Linked DNA regions of Canis lupus familiaris. The protein of the gene in region 1 interacts with the protein of each later gene in a pairwise test. Links are inferred from orthologs where the notes say so. Each region holds a gene or a part of one and is shown in the gene's direction. Other genes may lie near its edges. The genes, in order: BEND7, LYAR and MFAP1.

Region 1 (4,161 bases):
TGCCTGGGCCATTTCTTCCCCAAGAGTCAGCAGCAGAGCCCCCGAGCACCCACTGACTGACGTCGCGGCCCTCACTCCTTCCACCCTCTCCACGCCCCCCGCCCCCCCGCCCCGCGTTCCAAGTTGTCTCCTTGAAGAGAACTCCAGATCTTTCGACAACCCCTTTTGTATTGAGGTAAAGAAGCCTCGAAGCTCACTCTCCTCACCAGTAAATTCTCCAATCTCTCCGTTTCCTGGCAGAGCGCGGAGAGGGGTAAGTTGTGTGCGTGTGTGCGCGTGTGTGCCTGTGTGTGTTTCCTAAAAACTTGCGTAAAGCCCGCTGAGCGCGGCCCCTCCGACATCCCGGATCTCCAGGCAAGGAGTGGGCTGGCCTGGGTCCCCCGACACCCGGCACGACGCCTCCCTGAGCCCGGCCCCGGGGAGCGGCGGCGAGAGGCAGGCGAGCTCGGGGTCGGGAGCCGCCCCCCCCCCTCCCCGGCGGCAGCAGCGGCGGCGGAGGCGCCCGGGTCACCCCCACCGCCCGCGGCCCCCGGCCCGACCCCCGCAGTCCCCGCCGGGAGGCCGGCCCGGCCGAGGGCGCTGCGCCGCGGCCTCCGGCTCCTCCGCGGGGCGCCGCGCGGCCAGGCCGGTGGGTGGCGGCGGCCCGGGCCCCCGGGGATGGCGGCGGCCGCGCTCCGCCAGCAGGTGGCCCCGGGGTCCCGGCGGCGCCGCCTCCTCCCCGGCGCCCCTCCTCCCGCGGGGGCGGTCAGCGCCCCGACCCGGCTCGCACCCCGCCGCCGCCGCCCTCGGCCCGCCCGCCGCGTCCCCGGGGCCGCGCTCGCCGCCGCCGCCGCCGCCGCCCGCCGCCGCCGCCGCGTCCGGAGCAGCGCCCAGGCCGGCCCGCCCGCCCGCAGCACCCGGCCCGCCGCGCCGCGCCCTCCCCGCCCCCAACTCGCTCCCCCGCGGAAAGTTCGGCTCGGGCGGCGGCGGCCCGGGGACCCGGCAAGCGAAGGGGCCGGGGGCCGTGCTGACGGGACCGGGCGGCGGCGGCGGCGGCGGCGGCGGCGGCGCGGCGGGGGCAACTTCTGCCGCCGGCCCCGCGAGCCGCAGCCCCCGGGCGCGCTCGAGGTGGTTCTGCCCTCGCCCTCGCCTCCCCCTGCGGATCCAGGGCACGGACCTTGGTCCTGGCGCTCCCGCTGCCGGGTGACAAGAGCCGCCGCCGCCGCCTCAGCCGCCTCAGCCGCCGCCGCCGCCTCAGCCGCCTCAGCCGCCTCACCGCCCCCCGGCCGCAGCCCCTGCCTCCCGCCTCCCGCCTCCCGCCTCCCGCCTCCCGCCTCCCGCCAGCACCATGGAGTTCTCCGAGAGGAAGAGGAGCAGGAAATCGCAGAGCTTCAAACTGGTGAGCCGAGGTAAGCGGCGGGCCGCCGGGCCGGGCGGGGGGCGTGCGGGCGGCGCGCGGGGAGGACTCGGCGCCGCGGAAACACCCCCGCGGCCCGCGCCCCGCGCCCCGCGGGGGGGCCGCGGTGTGGGGGCGACGGGGGCGCTTCCGGGACCCCCGGGTCCCCTCCCGCGGGGGCGGCGCGGGGGCGGCGCGGGGGGGCGCACACGCCGCGCGGCGGGGAAAGTTGTGCAGGGGGCGGGGGGAGGCAGGATGTTATTCAGCGTAAACAAGTCGGAGGGCACCTCAGGAAATTAGCGAACAATGACACTTGGGGAGCCGAGAGCCTTCTGTGGTATTGCACTCCGCGGCCGGGGGTGGGGGTGCGGTGGGGGCGGGGGGCGCGCGCTGCCTCTCCCCCGCAGGCCGTGCACGCTCGGATCCCGACCCCGGCTTGGGGGCTGGCCTCCCCCCCGCCCTCCTCACACATGCACACACCCCCCTCACGAAAACAGAAGCAAAAGCAAAAAAAAAAAAAAAGAAAAAGAAAAAGGTGGTGGTTCTTTCAAGCACCAGAAAGCAGCTCATTAGGTGAAGGTGTAGGAGCCCAGACGAGAGCGGTTGACCTCTGGCATCTTCGCTATAGATACGTTCCGGGGGTTGGGGGGGGAGGGGCGGTGGGAAGGTGTATCGGAAGGGATCGCTTGTCGGTCACAAAAGTATCCCGATTAAAAAAAAAAAAAAAAAAAAAAAAAGATTCCAGCCGGTTCCTGACGATTTAACAGGTGTATGCCGCTCGCCGTCTTCGGGCTTGGGTCTCTCACAGGGAGGGCCGGGGAAAGTTGAATCTCGCCCTGTCCTGTGTTCAGTTACTTGTCAGGTCTCTCTTTTCCTGATTGGACTTTGTCAAAGATGATGAGAACTTGACATAAGAGCAGACATTAAAATAGGGCTATTAAAATGGCTTTGTGTTACCTTAAATTACAGGCAGGTGACTTTCTACCCCCCCCCCCCCCCATCCTCATGTCACAAGTCCTGATACCGAGTTTTGGAACCGCCTCGTTTAAATATCTTCTTTGAATCAACTTGAGGTCAGAACCAAACCCCAGAATTTGTCCCCTTTCCCTCTGTGCTTCTATCTAGCACTGGCCTCAGAGTAGAGGGAGAGCAGGAACCTGGAGAAGCCCCGTGCGAGCTGATGAAAATTAGAGGGTGATTTCCAAGTAATAGGGCTTTTCAAGCTAAGCTGAGCTAACTGTGATGTAGATTCAGTAAAGTCTGCTCTCCGCTGGTCTGAAGGTGGTTGTATAGACATTTATTTCCAAGATCGGCTCAGATCTGTTTCCCCTGTTTTAGTTTGGATACTGTTTAATGAAAGAGGCCTGAAATAGTCTCTACAAATTCAAAATATTTGGCTCTTCCTTCTCTCTGTGTGTGGATTGCTCAGTCATTTGTACTTTTAAAAATCTCTCCGTATGTGACTGGCCGGTGGGTCTATTGATTCATTCAGGAATGTAGGCTGCTTTCTTATTTATGACCTCTCAGACAACTTACTACTTTATCTGAAAAGTGAGAAGTTTTGTAGACCTTGACCTGTTAGGTCTCAAGCCACAAAAAGGGGAATAGCTGTTAAGAAGGAACCTCTATTTTCTTCCTAGACGATCCTACCTTTTAGAAATAGATCATTGGCAAGCCCAGTAGCCTCCGTAGAGAAGAAAAACGCTTGTAAAGTACTGCATTTTAAAGTTTGACTGACATAGCAAGTTTTTCATTTTCCTCTTTTTTTTTTTTCTTTGAATTATGGGTCTGATTCTTCTCTCTGCTCTGCAGGTGCATTTTTAGCAAATAAACTATTGCATATTAAAGTGCAGTAGCTGAATGCAAAAAGACTGTGTGAATGACGAGAATCTTGCTTTCTTATCTAGACTATACTATATTTGAAATAACAAATCAGTAATTTTCATGTGTGCTTTCCTGTAAGCTGCTTAAAGGCTGGAATTTTTCTGGATAAACTGAGAAAACTGAGCATCAGGTTACCCGAAAGCATGCTATTGATAGACTGTACTCATGGAAGTGGGTTGTGGAGATAATTTTGGAATCGTCCCCTGGCCTATGATTGGGCAAGGTTTTTCTTTCCCTTATAAACATACTTGTCATTTGAAAGCAAAGAGGCCTAGTAATTGGCATCTCTGGGCCAAATTTACTGTGAAAACCCATGTGATCAGCAAGGCTGTTTTCTAAAGTCAAAGTAATATTTCAAGTTTGTATACTTCCTCAGAGTAAGCAAAGTTTTAGAGATTATTAGTGACTACAAATTCAGTGATTAACCGAGTTCTTGGAAATTTATAGTTTAAAGTATAGATTATACATCTTATATGTAATGAGAGTCTAGTCTTGTTTTTTCGTATCTTGCAGCTCATTAGAATTTTAATTTTTGGTTGTTTTCTCATCCCAGATTATCACCATGAGGTATATAAGATCTCAGAATTCAGCAACAATGTTAATGGGGAGGCCGAAGAGACACAACCTATTTACTTAGGTAGGTTCCTATGTCAATTAATTTCTTAGCAAAACAGCGTGGCCGTTTGCAATTAGGGGGAAGGGAAAGAGAAAAAAAAAAAAAAAAGATTGTGCCAGAACGGGAAATGTCTGCCATTGCTTAATATATGACATTCTTTTCAAGACCTTTTATTTTACAGATTGCCAATATATCCCTTATTAACATTGCTAAAAGTTGTAATTTCAGACATAAATGTTTATTAGTGTCTACACACAGTGCTAATTATCACTCACTCCCAGAGCCA
Region 2 (4,076 bases), on another chromosome or scaffold:
CCGAGATGAGTCCCTTTCTTGCTTCATCACCACCCGTCTCTCGGCCTTTGAGTTTTGTCAGCCTCTGTCTCGGGCCCCAGGGCCACGTGCTCTGGCACCCTCGTGCCCCGGACTCCGGGGAGACGAGAACGCCGCTGTCCTGGAGATACCAAGTGAGGGAAATCCAAATTAACTTGGAGGAGGAAGGTCAGGGAAGACTTCTTGAGGAAGAGACATGTGAGCCGAGTGAAGGCTGAAAGCTTGAGCTACAGAGACAGGCTCGAGAGAGGCCCCCTCCTGGGGATTTCCTGGGGGAGCACATGGAAACAGACGCGCAGGGCCCAAGCGCCTCAAGCATCCTGCTCTTGAAACCTCCAGGCCACGCTGTCAGTCACTTCTGTTGGAACAACGTTTTCTTCCCGGCCCGTTCCGGTGAATCCCTTCTGTGATGGCCTGAATCCTGCCCCCCGCCTCCCCCCCCCAGGGCCCTGCGGACGTCCCGGCGAGAAGGGCGGGTGCGGGCCCGGCGCGGCGCGGGGGATGCCCCAGTGCAAACCCCGCCGGAGGCCGCCGCCGGGCCCCCGCCTCCGCAGCCGCCGGAAAACCGCCGTCGGCGGGCCGGGCAGACCCACGCAGGGCCCTTCAGGCGCAGCCCCCCCCCCCCACCCCCGCCGCCGCCCCCGCCCCGGGATCACCCTCCTCCCGGCGCCGACCCCGACCCCGACCGCGCGGCGTCCCTGCGGCCGCGGCACGCGCGCTCGGCTCCACGGGACCTGGGCCGCCGCGGGCCCGGGCGCTGCCCCCGACCGAGGCCGCCGCCCCCGGAGGCCGAGGGCCCGCCCGGGGCGGGGCGGGGCGGGGGGAGCCCGGGACCGCAGCCGGCCGCCGCGCGACCCTCAGGCTGCCCGGGGCGGGAGTGGCGGCGGCGGCGGCCCCGGCCTAGGCCGGCTCCCTGCGCCGCGCCCTCGCGAGGCCGGCCTTCCCGCCAGACGGCACCTACCGGAGAGGCCGCTCCCCGCCCCGCCGCCGCCGCCGCCGCCGCCTCTCCGCCAGCCGCCGCCTCTCCGCCAGCCGCCCTCAGCGCCGCTCGCCGGGCGCCGCCGGCCGCGGAACCATCCCGACAACGCCCCCTCGGCCGGCCGGATCCGCCTCCGGCTTCCGGGGACGTCACTTCCGCCGGGACGGCGCAGGCGCGGGGGGGCGCCCGGAGGGAGGCGGCTGCGGCGCGGGACGGGCGGCTGCGTCTCCACGTGCTCCTCGCGGCGGGTTGAAACCGTTGGCGGGCGCCGGCGGAGAGGTGAGGGGCGGCGCCGCGGGAGGCTGGGGCTGGGCGGGCGGTGGGCTGGCGCCGGCGTTTCCACCGCTGGACCCCTCCTGGGGCTTTCCCCGCGGAAGGACGAGGCGGGCCGTCCCGTGGCCTTCGTCCCGCGGGCGGCGAAGAGCCTGGTCGGAGGCGGGACGGTCCTCGCGCAGGGTCCCCGCGGGGCTGGGCTGCGGCCGGCTGCGAGGCGGGCCAGCTCGCGCTCCCCGAGGCCTGGGGGGCTGCGTCCCTCCGGGGCGGCCTGGACCGACGGAGGGCGCCCCGGCCGCCGCCCGCGACTCAGGTCTGCCCCTAGCTCCGCGGGTGACCTGCGAGTTACTCCTCCTGTGCCGCCGTTTGTCGGTCTACGAAGGGGCGAACACAGAACCCGAGATCTGCTGCGAGGATTGCACGCGCGCAGACCTGTTGGCCACCCAGGACGGGGCTGCCTGCAGCACCTGCTTCCGGGGAGACTGGGGAACGGCGTGGGGGGTACTTGCACGGCTGACCTCCCTGCGGAGGGCTCCTTGGGACTCACCCAGCACCCCCAGGCCCAGAGCCTAGCACAGCGCGTCTGACCCGCGCTAGACTTGCACGGATACCGATACACCCAAGGGATGCTGGTGATGTAGTTCTGGGGAGGCGGGGGGACATGGCTCCACTGGCCCCGCCTCGGTGCGCCCATCTGTTGGGTGGACATAGATGTACCTGCCTCACAGGGTGAGTGCACATGGGGAGCCTCGTCACCCCGCAGGCTGAGGCCACATGGGAGGCAGTGTGTACTCCTCTGTCCTTCCCTTGCGCCATACCCTTCGTGTCTTGGAATTCCACCCCTGGAAGGGGCTCCTGGCACCTCGCTTCACAGATGGGAGGACCCGAAGCTAAGAGGGGACAGTGACTTGTTGGAGGTCGTGGGGCTCACTGGGAATTGCGCTGTGGTTGCCAGCCTGCCCCCCCCCCCCCCCCCCCACCTCACAGGTGGGCTGTTTGAGGTTTAGGTCTGCGCCTACATGCCTGTGCGAGAATGTTTAAAGAATAGGGAGTGTAGTGTTTGCAGAAATAAACAATATAAAAATGTAAAGGCAGGAAGGTTTAAAAAGAACTCTAGAACCCAATTCTAGAACTAAATATGAGGCCCTTGTATCAGGTAACAGGGTGGTGGAGTGGGCAAATTAATAGGTCATAGGAAATACTTTCTACTGTTGGGTAAGGATGAATCTTTCCTATTTCTTATCTTCCACACAAAGCTCTTAAGATAGATTTTGGACCCATTTTATAGATGAACAGAATCTGGGAAGTTAGGATAGCTTGAGGTCATTTTTCATTGGTAGATGCTGGCTCCAGCTCAGATCTCTGGCCCTGAGTCAACAACATTCAACCAAACAGGGCCACCATCCTGGTAAGAGGACCCCTGAGGTGTCCCAAGTCCCTCATAAGTTCCCAGCCCCTTGTTATTGCTGCCTGCTCCCCTCAACTCAGACTCATTTTCTGACACCTGACCTCAGTTGTGACAAGGATGGTATCTCTGCTCGGTGTAAAATGGAAGGTCACTGTAGAGCCTTTGCTGTTTTTGCTCTTTTTTTTTTTTTTTAGTTTTTCTTTTGGGATGAGGGCCTCCGGCTTCTGCTCACTGAGTAGTGGCCAAGCAAACGGCGAAAAACATGACAAGTCAAGAGAGAGGAGCAGGGCAGGAGCTTGTCTCAGGCTACCTCTGCCACTCCCTATGTCTCCAGCCTAATCACTTAACCTCTCTGAGCCTCCACTATTTCTTACAGATGCTGGGGTGGTAATGTGATCATACCTGTTGTAGAGGTGTTGGGTGCAATTCTGACTATTAGTATGAAGTGGCTTTATGGAGAGCTAGCGATCGTGTTCTGTAACTCATCATCTTTTTCTTGGCTTGTAGCATGTGCTGAGAAGATCATAAGGTGAACGGACAGTCAGAAGCTCACACAGGGACTGGCCTCCTTTGGGGAAGGCACCCGGGTGCATGTGGATCCCAGTGCACACTCGGCATTGACCAGAGGTCTGCCGAAATGAATCACAGTGACTTAACTGGAGTGAAAACTTGAGTATGCTTTTGACTAGTCCACGAACACTGCTTTCTCTTTTCATGGGTCCCCATCTCTAGATGGAAGAGCACACAGAATCTCTGTGGCTGGGCAACCCCCGTGGCTCAGCGGTTTAGCGCCACCTTCAGCCCAGGGTGTGATCCTGGAGTTCTGGGATGAGTCCCGTGTCGGGCTCCCTGCATGGGAGCCTGCTTCTCCCTCAGCCTGTGTCTCTGCCTCTCTCTCTCTCTCTCTCTCCATCTCTCATGAATAAATAAAATCTTTAAAAAAATCTCTGTGGCTATCCTGAGCCAGGAAAGGAAAAGGGGATCTTTATTTAGCCCAATGAAGCATGCCATCATGTCTTTACACGGTGGGCTAAAAGTTGAAATATGTAATATCTGAGCCCTGTGGATAGGGTATCATAACGTCTTAATGCAACTGGCTTTCAGCTTTCCAAATTGCCAAAAGTATAAATGTTACACATTTACCAAAAACATCCATTTGAAAGTTTAAGGTTCTTTCACATTTACTTAGTTTTGTGAGATTTGTGGAAGTTTAAATTTTTAAGGCAGTGCTTGCCCTCTTCCCTTAGAGGGACTGAATTTTCAGAAGGCATCTTTTTGTAAGTTTGTAACATTTACACTTCTGCAGTCTTAAGCCTGCTAAGACTTGGGCCACCTTGTCCAATGTGCAGTTAGGTGGTTCGGAGCTTGCTGTTCTTTGCACTCCACCCCCCTTACAGA
Region 3 (3,644 bases), on another chromosome or scaffold:
ATCACCCAAAGTCCATAGTTTACATTAAGGTTCATTCTTGGCATTGTGTATTCTATGGGTTTAGACAAATATATAATGACGTATATCCATTATTGTGGTATCACAGTATTTTTACTGCCCTGAGAATCCCCTGTGCCCTGCCTATTCATCCCTACCCCAACCCAACCCTTGGCAACCACTGATCTTTTTACTGTCTTCATAGTTTTGCCTTTTCCAGAATGTCATGTATTTGGAATCATACGGTATATAACTTTTTCAGATTGGCTTCTTTCACTTAGTAATATGTCTGTAGATTTCATCTATGTTTTATTATGGCTTGATAGCTCATTTCTGTTTAGCACTGAATAATATTCCATCATCTAAATATACCATAGTTTATTCAGTCATCTAGCAAGGAACATCTTGGTTCCTTCCAAGTTTTGGCAGTTATGAAGCTAAAGCTAAAATAAATAATCAGTGTGCAAGTTTTTGTGTGGACTTTAGTTTTCAACACCGTTAGGTAAACACCAAGGAGTGCAGTTACTGGATCATATAGTATGAGTATGCTTACTTTTATAAGAGACCACCAAACTGTCCTCCAAAGTGGCTGTGCCATTTTGCATTCCCACCAGTAACAAATGAGATCTTGTTATTCCACATTCTCTCCAGCATTTAGTGTTGTCAGAGCTCCGTAGTTCGGTTATTCTAATGCATATGCAGTAGTATCTCATTTTATTTTGCATTTCCTTGACAACATATGACTTGAAACGAATATGTTTATTTGCCATCTGTGTATCTTCTTTGGTGAGGTGTGTTAAGTCCTCAGCCTCACCTTATTCTTCAGAATTGTCTTGGTTCTTTTGTCCTATTCTTCCATGTGATTTTTAGAATCAGCCTGGGAACAACTATTAATGGAATTGCCTTAAAATTATAGGTCATGAATTTATTGATTAACTTGGGCACGGTTGCCATCTTCTCTTTCTTAAATATGACATATTTCTCTCTTTATTTAGAACTTTTGTATCTTCCAATATAATTATATATTTTTCATCTGAAAAGCCTTGTACGTCATTTGTTAAATTTATTCCTTGGTATCTTGTAGTTTAGTTACTATTGTAAATAGTATTTTTAAACTTTATTTTCTAATTTATGTAGATAATGTACAGGTACACTTATTTTTATCCAGCATTTATTTGGCATTCTCCCTGAATTCTTTTTTTTAGTTTGCCTGTTTGTTCTCTTGTATTTTCTGCATATAATCATAGTCTGCAAATTATGACAGTTTCTTCCTTTTCAATCATTACCTTTTATCTCTTTTTTTTAAGATTTTATTTATTTGGGATTTTATTTATTTGGTGGCTCAGCGGTTACACGTCTGCCTTTAGCTCAGGGCGTGATCCCAGAGACCCGGTATCCAATCCCACATCGGCTCCCTGCATGGAGCCTGTTTCTCCGTCTTCCTGTGTCTCAGCCTTTCTCTCTGTGTGTCTCTCATGAATAAATAAATAAAATCTTAAAAGAAAAAAAAGGATTTTATTTATTTTGAGAGAGAGAATGAGCGAGATGGAGAGGGAGCAGCAGACTCCCTAGAGCAGGGAGCCCAATGCAGGGCTTGATCCCAGGACCCTGAGATCATGACCTCAGCCGAAGGCACTTAACTGACTGAGCTACCTAGGCACTCCTATCTCTTTTTCTTATTGCCCTAATTAGAATCATAATAAAATGTTGACTAGAAGGTATGATAGGGACAACATAAAGATGCCCACTGGTTTTTAAAGGAATGCTTCCAATTTGTCATTAAGCATAATGATTGTTATATCTTTTTTTTAAGATCTTTATTTATTCATACCCTTATTTATTTATACTCTTAAGGGTATAGGTGAGGTGGAATAGCATGAATTTGTGACGGATGTAGTCAGCCTGTCTTCCTCCATTTCAGTATACTCAAGTTAGCCCTCTTTATCATTAGTGTTGGTATTCGCAAGAATGTTTTCCCATGACTTGGCCTTGACAGGAAAACACCATTAGATAAGTAGAGGGCTGGATAGTGGCAATCTCCTTCTGCTTGAACTCTTGTTTACCAGGAATATAGGGCTCTACCTGCAAAGGACATTGGGAAAGAGGCTACTGAAACATAAGTTATGTTTATCACCCAGGTGAGATTTCGATGGAGAAAGTGAAGGTAAAACGTTATGTGTCGGGAAAGAGGCCAGATTATGCCCCTATGGAGTCCTCAGATGAGGAGGATGAAGAATTTCAGTTCATTAAGAAAGCCAAAGAACAAGAAGCAGAGCCTGAGGAACAAGAGGAGGATTCATCCAGCGACCCTCGACTGCGGCGTTTGCAGAACCGTATTAGTGAAGATGTGGAAGAGAGGTAATGACTAGGGTTGTTTCCTTACACCTATACCCCTACAGGTTAGTTAATAACAACAACAATAATAGCTAATACTTGAACAGTACTCATTATATGCCAGTCACTATTCTAACTACCTTTAGTAATTCTTGTAATCCAGCCAATAACCTTATGAGGTATGTATTATTATCCCAGTTTACAAATGAGGAAACTAAGGCACAAAGGGTCAGGAGAATAAGATGACCAAAGGTATACAGCCAGCAAGTGGCAACCAGTAAACAGCAGGACCTCTGGTCCAAAGGCCCTAGTTAACTAAAGGAATAGAAAACACAGACCATTGGTTGGTTTGTTGGGAGGAGGAGGTCTTAAAATTAGAGAAATTGATTTAATCCACTCATTTATCCTAAAGGCTAATGAGGGGAAATTACACTGAAGAAGTAGGATAAAAGGCCTGATGATGAGTGAATGGATTCACGTAGGAAAGGGAGCTTCCCAATGAAGGATTTCATGTTGTATGTTGAGACATTACCTTAGAGTGCAGACCAGAGATCCCAAACTTTCACAGTTCATTCAGTCTCAGGAATTTTCTCAAGGAGTCCCTAGGTCTACTTTATTTTATTAAGTAGATCCAAATAATTGAATAAATATTAATGTCTTAACATTTGAAGCCATTTGAAAAATCTAATATGCATAAAAGAAAAAACATTTTTATTTCATTCTTATATAACTATAATTATTAGTGGGGGTTTGTGTGCCTCTTGGACACTGTTTCTCAGACCTTGAAATCAGATTGACACTGGCACACATATCCTGTCCCATGTTGATCTGCATGTACTTGCTTTTTATATAGCAGGTACCAAAAATCCAGTTTCACAAAGATACAATATCACTGAAAAGAAACCTAGTATGATCTAATGTTGAAACTGTGAACTACCTGGAGCTATAAAACAATCCCGTTGCACCCATATGTTTGTTGCAGTGCCTCATGGTGTTTCAGCTTACATTGAACATTTTAGGTCCAACCTAACTATTTGCTCTCATGCTTTGATTTTTTTTTAAGATTTTATTTATTCCTGAGAGACACGGAGAGAGGCAGAGACATAGGCAGAGGGAGAAGCAGGCTCTGTGGGGAGCCTGTTGCAGGACTCGATCCCAGGACCCTGAGATCATAAGCTGAATCAAAAGCAGACAATCAACCACTGAGCCACCCAAGTGCCCCATGAATTATTTTCGTTTTTCTGTCCCTCAGTTTCCCTCTCTCAAGACTTCACTATTAATAAAGGCAAACAACCTCCAGGTGCTCTAAGACT

The links.
Region 2: the proteins of BEND7 (region 1) and LYAR interact in binary tests that used the Homo sapiens proteins (3 or more experiments, as listed by UniProt). The two-hybrid records come from large-scale screens. The link is inferred for Canis lupus familiaris from reciprocal best matches to the Homo sapiens genes BEND7 and LYAR.
Region 3: the proteins of BEND7 (region 1) and MFAP1 interact in binary tests that used the Homo sapiens proteins (3 or more experiments, as listed by UniProt). The two-hybrid records come from large-scale screens. The link is inferred for Canis lupus familiaris from reciprocal best matches to the Homo sapiens genes BEND7 and MFAP1.

The regions. Positions count from the first base shown.
Region 1 is NC_049223.1:21,943,811-21,947,971, forward strand, and holds the start of BEND7 (BEN domain-containing protein 7), read left to right. Parts: upstream 1-1,295; 5' UTR 1,296-1,327; coding exon 1,328-1,388; intron 1,389-1,923; exon of another isoform or gene 1,924-1,948; intron 1,949-3,812; coding exon 3,813-3,896; intron 3,897-4,161.
Region 2 is NC_049224.1:70,304,348-70,308,423, reverse strand, and holds the start of LYAR (cell growth-regulating nucleolar protein), read left to right. Parts: upstream 1-1,145; 5' UTR 1,146-1,276; intron 1,277-4,076. Other genes in the region: ZBTB49 (zinc finger and BTB domain-containing protein 49), read right to left, coding at 1-27. UniProt on the Homo sapiens protein: Plays a role in the maintenance of the appropriate processing of 47S/45S pre-rRNA to 32S/30S pre-rRNAs and their subsequent processing to produce 18S and 28S rRNAs. Also acts at the level of transcription regulation.
Region 3 is NC_049251.1:10,840,315-10,843,958, reverse strand, and holds part of MFAP1 (microfibrillar-associated protein 1), read left to right. Parts: intron 1-2,135; coding exon 2,136-2,355; intron 2,356-3,644. UniProt on the Homo sapiens protein: Involved in pre-mRNA splicing as a component of the spliceosome.